2 linked regions of the Mytilus edulis genome follow. The protein of the gene in region 2 interacts with the protein of the main gene of each other region in a pairwise test. Links are inferred from orthologs where the notes say so. Each region holds a gene or a part of one and is shown on either strand. Other genes may lie near its edges.

Region 1 (6,893 bases), on a different chromosome or scaffold from region 2:
TACAAGTTCAAATTCACTTGTTTTTCGGTCAATGGGTATGAATGGCGTTTTTGGCGGCGTGTACGCTGTCCGGTGTTGATAGACTTCTTCATAAATCTAAAATCCTCATATTTTCATCATTTCATGCGTGAGGGGATCGGTTCTGATTGAGGACATCCTGAATGCGTGAGGGGACGTGAAATCATATCTGTATATCCAAGCTATGAGTCGTTGAAAGTTGGCTAAATTTTGTTAAATTGTTCATGAAAAAAACACATGTGTGTGCATGAAATTGTGTGATAGAATTTTGAAATATCAATAAATCACCAAGCTTTTGTTACATGAACAAACAATCTAACCAATAAGTTCCAAATATGTCTCAAAATTTGCGGATTTAAGCAAATAATCAGTCTAGTTTGGAGACTTATTTGCAACTGAATTTATTGGTTAGACTGTTTATTTTATACAGACAACTTGGTGATTTTGTGTATAAATCAAATTGTTTCATATCAATTCAATTTTAGTTGGTTTTTCTTTATGAATAAATAAGCATATTCACTTGCGGAAATGGTATATTCACCGCGCAAATGTCACGTACTTTTACGTGCATAATTCTTATAAACTTGTTTTATGTAAAATTTGTTTTGATAAATAATTACATACATTTTTGTCGGAATATGGAATAAAAGAATTACTGTCTTTTGTAAATATGTGGTTTAATTGATTTTTGAAAAAAACTGATATTCACTTCGGCCGTTGGCTTCAGTGAAAATCAGTTTTTCATAAGTCAATAAAACTATTTACCTCATCCAAAGACAGTAATTGTACAATATTTAAACAAATATCAAAACTTGAGTTTTAACAATCAATTTTTTTGTCAAATAAGCAATTTAAGGGGAGATAACTTTTTTCGTAAAAAATAAAAACTGAGATGGTTTTAACTTAAAAATTTATTTGTAGCAAGAAACAAAAACGTTGACACAATTTTTATTTTACTGATTCTTCGTAAAACATAGCATAAAACCTATCTTCCCTCAATTTATTTCAAAATTCTATTTCATAATTTTGTTTATGCACAAACATGTGTTTTTACATCATCAATTAAACCAAATTTAGCCAACTTTCAAAGACTCATAGCTTGGATATACAGATATGATTTCACGTCCCCTCACGCATTCACGATGTCCTCAATCAGAACCGATTCCCTCACGCATGAAATGATGAAAATATAAGGTTTTTAGATTTATGAAGACGTCTATCAACACCGAAAAGCGTACACGCCGCCAAAAACGACATCCATATCCATAGACCGAAAAACAAGTGAATTTGAACTTGTAGATCTGTTAATAGAACCATTTCAAAATTCAAATGTCACTTTTTTAGGCAATTTCTCGTGGGACAACTGATTTTGTAGGAGTTCAACTCCATGTACACCAGTAAATTATACATGTATCTCTTCAATTAATGTATTCACCACAGCATAGCATTCTCCGATTTTCAATATTTTGATCAGTTGAATAAGAAAATTGTGATTTAGAAATGTACATACCTTTTGAAGCGGTGACAATTACTCCACTCAAGCACAACCGGAAAATCCTCTCACGGTTTTCATTGCAGAACCAAATGTTCTGCATGTGTAGATTACCAGCCGTGTATATTCGATATTACAAAAAAACAAGTGTTATAGAAGCCTATGATGTACCTGAAAAAAAAATGTACAATTAATACTTATTATTTATACCAAACAAAAAGATCAAACTTTAAAGACCTTGTTGATTACGTACCTTTAATCATAGATGTAATGGGTATTACATCTATGCTTTAATTAATCAGGCTTTGATTGAATTAAGTGATTACCAGTGGCATCACCTTAGTTCACAATCATCAGACAATTGTTGAATTAACAAACCAATTATAGACTAATGATTTGCTTAAACAAGATATTATGATGAGTTAAATTTGAACGGTTCCATTGGACTGTAAATATTTATTTAGCTACTCTGTGTGAGAAGTAAATAAAAAAAAATCGCCATGACATTCAAAGTCAACATGGAAAGTATCTTCACATTTTAAAACATTTAAATTCTTATACTGCTATACACAGACACAATAACACTCAGTTTCGTATTGATTTAAAATTGTTCTTTAACTGGTACTCCAATACTTCACTTATCTGTTGTCGTCCATCATCGACACTTTTTGCAAATTCCGTTTATACTGTTCAAATTTGTGACAAATTCCTCCATATAGTGAATATATAGTTTATTCATATTTCATTATTGGGCTGGATCGACTTGGGCCCCGGATCGACGTGGGCCGGATCGACTTGGGTCGGATCGACTTTGGGCCGGATTGACTTGGGGCCGGATCGGTTTGGGGCCGGAACAACCGGATACCGATTTAAATCTATTCACAAGTTAGCTGTCAGTTAACTGCGAGTACATGTACTCTCACTTACATTGTCATTTCAGGGCCTGTTATAGCTGACGGCAGTATGGGCTTTCCTCATTGTTGAAGGCCGTAAGGTGACCAATAGTCGTTAATTTCTGTGTCATTTTGGTCTCTTGTAGAGAGTTGCATCATTGGCAATGATACCACATCTTCTTTTTTATATGATATTCTGAATTTTTGTTGGGTTTTTCACTTTCTTTTATTTTTTTTTATCATATTAGAAATAACAAAACTCTTCTATGACATGCAACATTCAGTTTGAATATTAAAATCTTTTACCTGCTAACAGCTCTGAAGAGAGTTCCTCTCCACTTGGAGTATCTGTTTTATTTTGAAGGCCTTGCTCATTTGTTGAACTCATGATTTTCCCTTGGATAACACACTCTCTTTCAATTGACCGACATTTTCCTATCGGCAGACTTAAATTTACAAAACCATTTATCTATGTTTTCTTTAAGGATGTACGTTTATCGTTTATGACAGTCTTATGTTCTTTAATACAGGGGAATAAAAGTATGAATGTCAAATTTTGGTGATGACAGAAAACAACATCCGGTAAGCTTCGTTTCCTGTTTTTGTTGTCTCCCTTTCTGGGTTGGTTTGTCCAATCAATGAGCTTTTTACAAAATTCTTTGTCAAATCAAAACAACTAAGAAGCACTTTAAAAAATGTCAGGGAATTATGAATGGATATGAAAACCTTGAGTATATAAAACAAAAGGAATAAGTTTAATTGTAAAAGAAGGTTACTGAATTTTTAGTATGGTTTATAAGTATATATATCTAGTACTACTACAAGTCAAATCGGCACCTGGTAAAATTATTCGACACCTATAATTTTGGCCACAGTCACTTGTTTCTATCCATGGGAAGGTAGACTATCCATATATAGAAGCTTATATATATATATATATATATATATAAGAAAATTATTAAAAGATAATAACGGTTTCAATGCATCACTTTACCGTTATTATCTTTTAATAATTTTCTTATATGTTACCAGCATACGGACTTTACTTAACTTTTTCTTATATATATATATACATGATATATATGCATAGTCGATCTTCCCATTGATAGAAACAAGTGCCTGTGTTCATCTATTGACATAAGACATAAAGCTTTATTTAGAGTCGGTATAAGCAAGCAATTACAAACATAAGCTCTGAAGAGCTTGGCAAAGTCAATACGGCTACTGGTCAATTCACAGGCACTTGTCTCAGAAAAAAATTTCCTACATACCTTAATATAACACAAGGTACTTAACTTGCATTTTAGAAAAATGTAAGGTGGTGACGAATTTCCGTTATATGCCGCTTTAGAGGCTGTCAACCCCACTAAAACTTATTATATCATAAATCTAAATTGATTTATCTTTACAATGGTGTAATCACTGTATAACATGCCTACATTTGTTGTCGGATGATTCCGTAGCAATCCTACCCAAGTATGGCAGTCGTAATTATATCGTCAACGTACACACAAAATTTTGGCAATACTCGTCTCGCAGTAAATGAGTAATTATAAAAAATTGTTTTAAAAAAAAACTGTTAGTTTTCGTATGAATAGAACTTATCATACAGTTAGCAGGTTAGTAAAATTGTATAATATACCGTGAAAAAAATCTAACAAGTATTGTTTCTGGTATGTACAACTATTAAGTTGCACTCACCTACATCAGTTTTTATTTTTTATAAGTATGATACAACTCTATGTACTTTAATGCAATGTGAAATTTCATTAGGACATTCCATGTTTATGGGTCAGCAGAAGACATGGCTTATTTCATGACCGTAGATTGAGGTATATAAATCAAAACTGACCAAGGACACCACAAAACTTCAATCAGATTTGGAACTGAATATGTAAGATTTAATATTTTCTGCCATGAACTTATGACAGAAACTTTTTCACAGTACGTTGTGGCCACAGACATATTAATGTTATGACATATTGTCTGGATGATATTTACCTATGCTGTATTGTCTGGACAATATTTACCTTTGAAATATATAAGTTCTTACTTGGGTCAATCACTTACAGAATATGGCAGAGTTTACCAAGCCATTTCCAACAGATTTACAGTTTACTCACAAACATGTACTTCATTGTACTTAATTCCTTTTTTTATTTTACAGATCTGGAACCATGACATCCATGAGCTCTTTGAAGAGTAAGCTACACAAACTGAAGAAGGAGGATACCAGTGAGGTGACAGGTTAGTATTGGTTAGCTAATCTGGCTTTGTTTTAACATGATATTATCTGTCGCTTTATCAGCATGTCATGACAGATTTATAGCTTTACCTAGCCATTTCATAAATAAGAAAAGATATGAATGTCCACTCTTAATGGCTTTAGATGTAGAACTGTCCTTTTAGTTAAAAAATGGCAAAGCATTGAAAATCTTTAAAAATTATGATGTTCCTAAATACTACTTCATTTTTTCATTTCTAAACATGCTAAATAAAAACAATAAATAAAAACACTTTATTGGAAAAGAGTGAAAACATTTACAACTATAGCTCTTACCATTCCTTTTCTTTACTTAACTTCCAAGAATTTTTCAGATTATAAAACATGGATGAGAAAGATAACTGACTGTGGGAACCGTGCTGAAGATTGGTTAGAATATACAACTTACATGAGACACAATCTGAACTTTAATGATAGGTTCCAGGCTCATAACTTTCTCTCTGATCTGTATGAGAAAGCTTTCAGGGTAAGAGTCCCATACAAACTTTAATGATAGGTTCCAGGCTCACAACTTTCTCTCTGATCTGTATGAGAAAATTTCAGGGTAAGTGCTCCATAAAAACTTAGAAACACACTATACTTGTAGCTATGTATATTTGAGATCATACTATTTTTATTTAATGTCTAATATGTTACACGATCTTTATTTAGATCTGAGAGCACACTATCTTTAAATTCAGAGATCACACTATATCACTCAGATGTCACACCATATTTATTTATATCTTAGAGATCACACAATCTTTAAATCTCAGAGATCACGCTATATCTCTCAGAAGTCACACAATATTTATTTAGATCTGAGAGCACACAATCTTTAAATCTCAGAGATCATACTACGGTATATCACTCAGATGTCAGACCATACTTATTTATATCTCAGAGATCACACTATCTTTATTGATATATATTTCAGAGATCACACTACATTTATGTCTTAAAAATCACACCATCATTATTAATATCTCTCTGTCTTTATTTACAGGCTATTGATGGAAAGGCAAATAAAGACAATGAAGCATTTGCTCATCTATTTATAGACTTTGCTGAGGTCAAAAGGTAATATAACAGATAGATTATTGTAATAATTTTGTAAGATTGTGGAGATAGCACAACGATGCCATACAGTACTTTCGTGAGATTGGTTAATGAATATTTGTTACAAACATGAGCACCAATATTTACTTCCCAAAATTGCAAATGCAGCTCTGAACCAATTTGTTTTGTCCTTAATATCATGATCAACGTTAATTCCTCCATTTCTTGTAGGGATCTTTGGCATATCAAAACTATAGTCACAACATGTACTTATAGTACAAAATTAACTTAAAGCTTTTATTTTTTATTCTCTGATATTTTGTTTGTGAGGTGTTGTCTTTTCCTTTATCCTTGACTCTAATTTTCCTTAGAATTCAAATTTATGTGGGAAATGGTATTCCTCAATGATGAAATTATGGAAAATAACAATGGCTGTTTTGTTTGACAGTTTTTAAAACAGCAATTTCTTACTGTGGTATAACTAAATAAAGTGAATGTTAACTGCCATAGTATTTTGTTTAGTCAAGAAAATTTATTTCCAGAAACAAAAGCATAGTTTGATAATTGATTTATTCATAATTTACAGTGAACAGTTGCTATTGGAAGATGCCATTCAGCTGCTAACAGAAGCAAGAAACATAGTCAAAAGATATGCCATAGTTCATATTGCTTCAGCAGAGCTAGAGGTCAAAGAAGGTAAACATTTGTATTTTTTGTTTAAAGAATATTATAAAATATGCATTTAAACTTGACTGGCTCATAGGGGTGTGAGAGCCTTTGCAATCATTGTGTGTCCATTGTCCAATTAGGGAGAAAAATATACAAGTTTTGGAGTTATTTCCCCTGAAATATACATATTTCACAATTTTCCCTGTTATTTTGAAAACTACAGTAGCTAGGTTAAAAGTTAACACTGCATAAATGATGAGCATGATAAGATCTATCTCCTGGAATATTTTTGTCAATCTGTTTTGGATTATTTGTTCTTTAAAAGTAGATTTGTTTTACTGTTTTATGCAATTTTGACTGTTACCTAAATAACAAAAATGTGCTAGCTTAAACATGTAAACTGCAAAAATGTTAAGCATCATAAAGAGTTACTGTATTATGTGCATATTAAAGTCATAATTAGTAAACAAAAACATCACTTGTTCTGTATATAAAATTG
Region 2 (7,521 bases):
CTAAAATGAAATTTAACTCTATTAAACATTATGACAAAACATACCCAACAAACTGAAGCATATCAGATATTTCAGTTCAAACTAAAAAATCTCCCCTTTCAGCTTATGAATATCTGAGAGAAAAGTGTGCCCCTTTCTGAAGAACCTTGGACATTTAAGTGATCAAAATCAAAAATGAAACTATTGAAAGGGTGCTTAGGGTAGTGTGCACAATTTCAAATCAGGTGTGAACCAGACGGTGAACGAAAAAATATATATATAAAAGTATTATAAAATAAAATAAAATTCTTGTAGTTCCCAATACAGATTCACCCTTTTTTTTTATCCTTGATGTTCAAGTGATGACAACCTTGGTACAATAGGAGACTTGCAGTAATAATCTTAATCCTAAATGGCTGTATTTGAAGGTCTTTCTTTCTATGTTCAAACATACATTTGTAGGTATACAAAATGTTAAAGCCTCATAATTTTTCTTTGGTTTCTGCTCAAAATTATATAACACTAAAATGAATAAAGGTAACTATCATGAACTATAATTGCCCAAAAATAAGAATATTTTCAATTCAATTATTTAAATATATTATTTTGAGAAGAACTTTTTGGTTTTAATTTACACATTTTTCAATTTAAACTTCAAAGATTTTTGTATGGATCAATGGGCAGTTGATATTAAGTGTGTTTATTGAAGAATAGCATTTAAGTGGAGGTGATTCAATCAAACTTCAAATCTGTAAATAGATGAAGTTATATCCTCAATGACAATGAATGATTGGACGTTTGTTACACTTATATATGCAAACCAATAGAAAAAAATCCAACCTTGAACAAACAATTGATTTGATTGTTGGTTGTTTACCATCCAGTGTCAAATATTTCATGCATGTTCAGGACGATTGAACAAAAGAAAAAAGACCCAACAAAACCTTGGAGAAAATATTATTCACTGTGAATGTAATAATTTTTAATTATTTGCAAACAATCTTATACACTTAATTGATGAATAGCTTCAGAAATATAGTCAGTCTGTCAATAACATTGCTATGATTTCCCCGAGCTCAACGAAATGATTAGAGAGGAATAAAACAGTAATAGTGCAAACAGTTAAAAGAAATAATATGCAAGAACATTCACAACTTCCATTTTTTCATGCATGATGATATGAGTAAAATTGCAATAAAAAATATCTGATTAAGTTTTTTTGAAGTTGCCCATGATAAATGCTTTAGGCCATGGAAAAATAATTCATGGTTTCCCCTAACCCGACCGGGTCATTTAATTTTTCTGGAAAAAAAACCCAGAGATAACACAAAGTGTTTGAAATATACAAGATTAAAGTTCTGCTGTAGAAACAAAACATATAGATATAAAATTAAGCATGGTTACAAAAAAAAAAAAAGAGCCTGCCTACCGGGTCTTTAAAATTTTTCCATGTTAGGGGAAACCAACAATTAATTTTCCATGGCCTTAGCATGATATTACCAATAAAGTGGAAATCCCTAAGTGTCACAACTTTGCAATCTTAGACGATATGCGTTTTGAATATTTACTACGTCTACCATATTGTTATCCATATCTGTGTAAAGCATGAGAGTTCACGAAAATGGTCCTATCGGTCAAAATGAGGATATTATTTTTATTTCAGGATAAAATTGTCAGATTTTTAAGGACTGGCTAAAATTTTATAGGACTGACAAATAATCTTGCTTTGTCAGTCCCATGACCGACAGGTCAAAAAAAAGTTTTCGTGAACTCTGTGTAAAGACGCAGAAATTAAATTCCTGAGGTGAAATGGTACCATTATAAAGTAAATAATGACTAATATCTCATAAGTACATGTATCTACTTTAAAACCTATAAAGATTTCAGATAATATATCGGCTCTCAGGTCAATATTCAATAGGCCCCTTTACAGTTAGTTTGGCCATATTGAATATAGGCAGATTTTCATAATGCAGGTTTAAAAGGTCTGAAAAATTTGGGAAAACATCAATAAAACAGAGCAGTTTCTTAGAAACATGCATCATGTGCATAGGGTTTCCTGTATTATTATACAATTTCCACCTCTTTCAAATGATCTGACCCCTTCTCTACATGGCTATACTAACCGTGAAGGGGCCTATATGCCTTATTGCTTTTCCCAGGTGACCCAAGAATCTGTTCCGCTTGAACTATGGACAAATGATTGACGTCACACACCAATCACTTTTCAATTGTGGTGTCAGATATTTTGTATAATGACATCAACATTTAACGGGAACCTGTGTGATGTCCAGTAATGGCAAACAAATAGCGATAACATGCTGTGGCTGATCCAGAACTTTTCCTAAGGGGGGGGGGGGCTCCAGTCATGCTTCAATGATTCCCTATATAATCAACCAAATTTTTCCCACAAAAGGGGGGGCCAGGCCCCCAGGATCCGCCTATGAGATGTATTGTCGTATTGACTATACACCTTATCACTAATCCCGGCTGACCAGGCCGCTTGAACTTTTGACGCATACAACAAGCACTTTTCCATTGTGGCGTCAGATATTTTATATTATGACGTCAAAATTTTAAGGGAACCTGTGTGATTTTCAGTAATGGCGGACAAATAGCGATAAGGTGTATTGTTGGGGAGTTCTCGAATCATGAACTTCTCAGGAAATCGGTGTATCCAGATAAAAATTAGTCAGAAGTTATTGCTATATCATTTTTTCAGGATTTTTTTTTTCAATAACGTTATTTGTGAGTCATTAGGGAGAATTGCTTAGATTTTCATTGATTATCTTAATTGTAAATTTGGCTAATTTTAGGGCACCTTTTAATCTGTCAATTGCATATTCTTCAAACTCTTGCAGGGATATTTCCCCCGTTGGTGGTATTTTGTAGAACTGTAAATTATGACCAACGCGGTTGAACTGTTTCTTATTTCTTGCGGATCGTCCAGATTTTTTGCTGTTGCCTGCGAAATCCATTTTGTTGACTTTTTTGTTGTTTGCCTTTCCCGCTCAAAACAAATGTTTTCGGAACTTTCGGACTTTGTCGATTAAAAACTTTTTTACGTTCAACTGCATCTGTACGCTTACAAACAATGATAACTCTAGATAAAGCTTTACTTTGACGTTTAACGAAAACAAAAACAAAATGGTCAGCTTGAGTGGAGCACTTGCTGCTACTTGGGTTCCATTTGTAGTGATAATTATTGTAAGTATGTCATGTCATCTTTTATCCTGATCAGATTTTCACAGTAAAACTTTAATTCAGTTGAATGGCCCCTGTATTCACTGGTACTGACTACTGTGATTCAGTCTGTATTCATCATGTCCCTACAGCAAAACATAAATAAATTTATTAACTATAGAAATTGTCAAAAACATAAACACATTGATTTGTTTTTCATATGGGATCAAACCCTCTATATGGTGATTATACCTGTATAGAGGGATAATCCTTCTATAGAGGGGTAAATTTATCCCTCTATAGAGGGGTATTTTTGTTTAGACTAAAATCAAAATAGGGCAGAATGGCATTCTCTACTTATTATGGCAGTAACCTGGAATAGTTGATGCACCAATTGATGTACTTAATTTAATATGCACATCTTCTTCTTCTTCTTTAGGTTTTCAGTAGTCCTTCAATGATCTGAAGATTATTTACTGTTTGCGCGCGCAGCGTGGCCTATATATATATTTACAAAAACAAAAGGGCCAAAACAAAAACAAAAATACATGCCCAGTTTGATGCTTATCTGACTAAATATAAAAGCTATTGTTCACCATGATTGAAAGCTGTGATGATCAGGTAAATTCTACTCACTTATGCCTCACTGAACAGAATTTCTATTGTTAGATATAACATGAAATTCAAAGGTCAACTATTCCTTTTGTTGTTGATCAGGTGTTCAGATAGGTTTACAATAGATTGCAAGTTTTGTCACTTTAGCAGAAAACTGGTTATCCCAATTTTAAGTAAAGTGCATATGTTGATGCATATATATAATGCTAGAGATTATAGCCAATATAACTAGAAAATGCCATTCTGCCCTAATTTGCTTTAAATCCAGTGCAAACAAAAATACCCCTTTATAGATCCTTCTATAGAGGTATAATCACCATACAGGGGGTTTGTTCCCAACCTGACTAATGATGAGTAATGTAATTTTGTCATCTCGTATGTGTTTTTATCGGAAGCAAAAGACTCGCCCCACTTGTAAATAGCAGCAATAGACAACTTTCGAGTTCAATGCATTTCCATCAAAAACTCTGGTTTTAGTGAACATGTTTTAGTGAACATCATTCGTGCATTTAGGGGGATGGTCACTTCTGTTCCAATGTTGAGCGGGTGGTTGGAAAACTATTATACTATATATTGCACAAATTATTCGGCAAATTAAATTCTCATAATTAACAATCAGCACTGCTGTCAATAGGGAATAGTGATTAAGTACTTACAAAACAAACATTATTTCTAGTTTATACCATGCACAATGACAATCACTAAGACGCTTGATGAAGGTTAATAGTACAGGCGATCCCCTTTATCTGGTTAATGAAGTCATAAAGGCACGCTTAGTTGATGATTTTTTCCGGTGACAGATGAACTCTAAAAATGGTCTATTGGCATGATGAAGTTCATTGTGGTTTTTGTTGGCAGACCTTTATTCAGCATGTTCAGCAGGATTTTAACCCTTTTCTTCTGCTTCTTTGTATAAGTTTCTATAGAAAGGAACACCTCTAATGATATAAGAGTATAAGTGTAATTTTGTTTAGAATTATTTTTGGCTTTGTTTCAGACTATGTACAGCACTCAATGTAGATGGTTTGTAGAAAATTTTTATGAATGTAACTTTATAAGTTATATATACAGTTTTGGCTTTTATCATAATTAATATTATAAAGTTTAAACTTACAAACTTTTCGTAAGTGGGGTGAGTTGTCAGGACCTATTTTCAATGGGAGTTGTCGTCAAAAAAGAGTGTGGCTATTTTTTTAAAAGTGGGGCGAGTTGTCATGGATTCGTTGTTATCTCACTTGTACAATGTATTCACTCTTTTGTTTATTTATTGGTGTAAAAAAATTGGATAACTCTCTATGTCTGTTCCAAAAGGCCTCGAGAAAAAGACCCCTTTTTCATCTATTTCTACTATGACAATCTATGTGACCACCTGAGGCTGATCAATAAATTGATACACCTGATCTGAGATACAGCAGTTAATTGTATGTGTCATGTAACCTTCATAACCACATGACCTACATATATGCATGGGAAATCAAATTTTAATTCTAGTTGGTCACCCTCCCTTCAGTCGTACATACGGACATTATTTCTAGACTACTCTGCAGAATGACCATTCAAATAATGCTTCAAACTTTGATGGTGCATGGATACAGATGCACCTTCTATCTTGTAAATGATGTCATAAGGGCGTGTGTAATTGTTGAATTTTCCTTTGAAAGATATGATACAAGAAATTATTCAGATACTCTTGGAAGCACAAATTAAAAATTAAAAATTCTAAGAAAAATGAGATGACCTTGCTTTACAAATTACAGTTTATTTCTTTGAGTTTCATATCAAATTGTGCCAAGTTTTTTTTTATGTTTTAGCTTGCCTTGCTGTTTTCAGTAGTATATATTAAGTATTTTATGAGCAAGTATGATCCATCATTATCAACAACTATATCTGGGATTATCTCCCTTACCATTGCCCTGTTAACAGTATGTTTGGTACCAATAGATGTGTTTCTAGCCTCATTTATGAAGAACAGTGATGGCACTTTCAAGGTAAGACTAACAGCATGATAAACAATCTGTTTGTTTGCAGTTGTTCTTGTTTTATGTAATACATGCAAGAATGCCACTAGATATTTTGACTCTCGCACAAGTTTCTTAAAAGATGTATGGAGATTTATTTAAAGATCTAAAAAAAACCTACCACTTTAGGTAATGCTTCAGCGTTTTTGTGTCCCAAATAAAAATGGCATGTCGGATGTCTATGACTCATTACGGTTATTTGGAAGAACTTTGAATTATTCTGTTTAGACACTACTGATAAAGAATAAAACATTTTAGGAATGGGCAAATTCATCAGATACCAGAGACTCAGTAGAGAATACAGTAGCCATAGGATACTACAGTAAGTAGTTAATCTTGAAAGACATATTTTTTACTTATCTTATCTTATCTTACAGTTTTTTTATTTTCAATATCATTATGTGTGCAATCTAATTAATTCATGCCCTAAATTGATTGTACTGTGACCTTGCAATCTAAAACTTTAAAGTCAGCCTAATTTCTCTGACTTTTTGTTGAATTTTCCAAGATAATTTGTCATGACTTTCTGTTCAGTTTTCCAAGTTGCAGTGTTATTAAAGTTTCATGCTATAAGTGAACATTCATATAAAAAAGAAGATGTGGTATGATTGCCAATGAGACAACTGTCCACAAGAGACCAAAATGACACAGAAATTAACAACTATAGGTCACCGTACGGCCTTCAACAATTAGCAAAGCCCATACTGCATAGTCAGCTATAAAAGGCCCCGAAATGGCAATGTAAAACAATTCAAACAAGAAAACTAATGGCCTTATTTATATAATAAAATGAACGAAAAACAAATTTTATTTTAGCACTGTATGCACTGGTTACATTCTGTCTGTTCTTGCTGTTACCATTTATGTACTTCTTTTATGAAGAAAAAGATGAGTCGAATCCCACCTCCTGTAGATCTGTAAGTTTTATCTTATTTCTGTTATAACCATGTGTAATACACAAATATTGATATTGAATTGATGCATACATTTTGTAGTTAACAGGGATTTATCTTGATACATTTTGTAGTTAACAGGGATTTATCTTGATACATTTTGTAGTTAACAGGGATTTATCTTGATACATTTTGTAGTTAACAGGGATTTATCTTGATACATTTTGTAGTTAACAGGGATTTATCTTGATACATTAACAACACAGTAATCAATCAATCAATCTTAAATGCATTAATAAACGTAAGACTTATTTGTGAATCTAAAAATAAATTGCTTAGTAAATTATTATTTATGATATTTGTTATATATAAGAGACCTAATACCGGTACTCATCTCATAAATATCAGGGTTGACAAAATTTTCAACTTGATTTATTTGAGTGGAAGCATGAGTTGAAAAAATTATTATCCCATGCAATCATTGATTGATCATTCACTTTTTAAATTTGAAATTATGTTTGCTTTTACAGAAATTCTGCACAGCATCCAAGTACACAGTGGTGTTTCTGATTATAGCTGGTGTCCTGATGTTGATTGGGTAAGAATTATGAGGTTGATTTAAAGATATCAGCTTTTTCAGTTTAGTACAATAACTCCTCATTTGATAAGTGGATTGTCTGTAGTAAACAGAGTTACATACCATAACAGAAAGTCATAAAACTTTGCTCAGTGCTCGGAGCACAAAAATCTTGCTCGAAACATGAATCCAGCATTTTGATTGGTTGAATTTGGAGTACGAGTTAAAAAACTGACTCAAAAGTTTTATGATTTCA

Evidence for each region. The genes of interacting proteins can lie anywhere in the genome.
Region 1: the proteins of DNA primase large subunit-like (region 2) and rho GTPase-activating protein 8-like interact in a two-hybrid assay, tested with the Drosophila melanogaster proteins (2 studies listed by BioGRID). The link is inferred for Mytilus edulis from reciprocal best matches to the Drosophila melanogaster genes Prim2 and RhoGAP68F.

Annotation. Positions count from the first base shown.
Region 1 is NC_092353.1:640,346-647,238, forward strand, and holds the start of rho GTPase-activating protein 8-like, read right to left. Parts: upstream 3,016-6,893; 5' UTR 2,792-3,015; coding exon 2,710-2,791; intron 1-2,709. Other genes in the region: dual specificity protein kinase TTK-like, read left to right, coding at 3,112-3,134, 4,571-4,650, 5,002-5,153, 5,673-5,746, 6,312-6,421. UniProt on the Drosophila melanogaster protein: Functions as a GTPase-activating protein (GAP) for RhoA/Rho1 during gastrulation by converting it to an inactive GDP-bound state.
Region 2 is NC_092344.1:119,331,465-119,338,985, forward strand, and holds the start of DNA primase large subunit-like, read right to left. Parts: upstream 3,022-7,521; 5' UTR 2,958-3,021; coding exon 2,801-2,957; intron 1-2,800. Other genes in the region: probable lysosomal cobalamin transporter, read left to right, coding at 3,127-3,186, 5,589-5,765, 6,054-6,117, 6,612-6,712, 7,219-7,286. UniProt on the Drosophila melanogaster protein: Regulatory subunit of the DNA primase complex and component of the DNA polymerase alpha complex (also known as the alpha DNA polymerase-primase complex) which play an essential role in the initiation of DNA synthesis.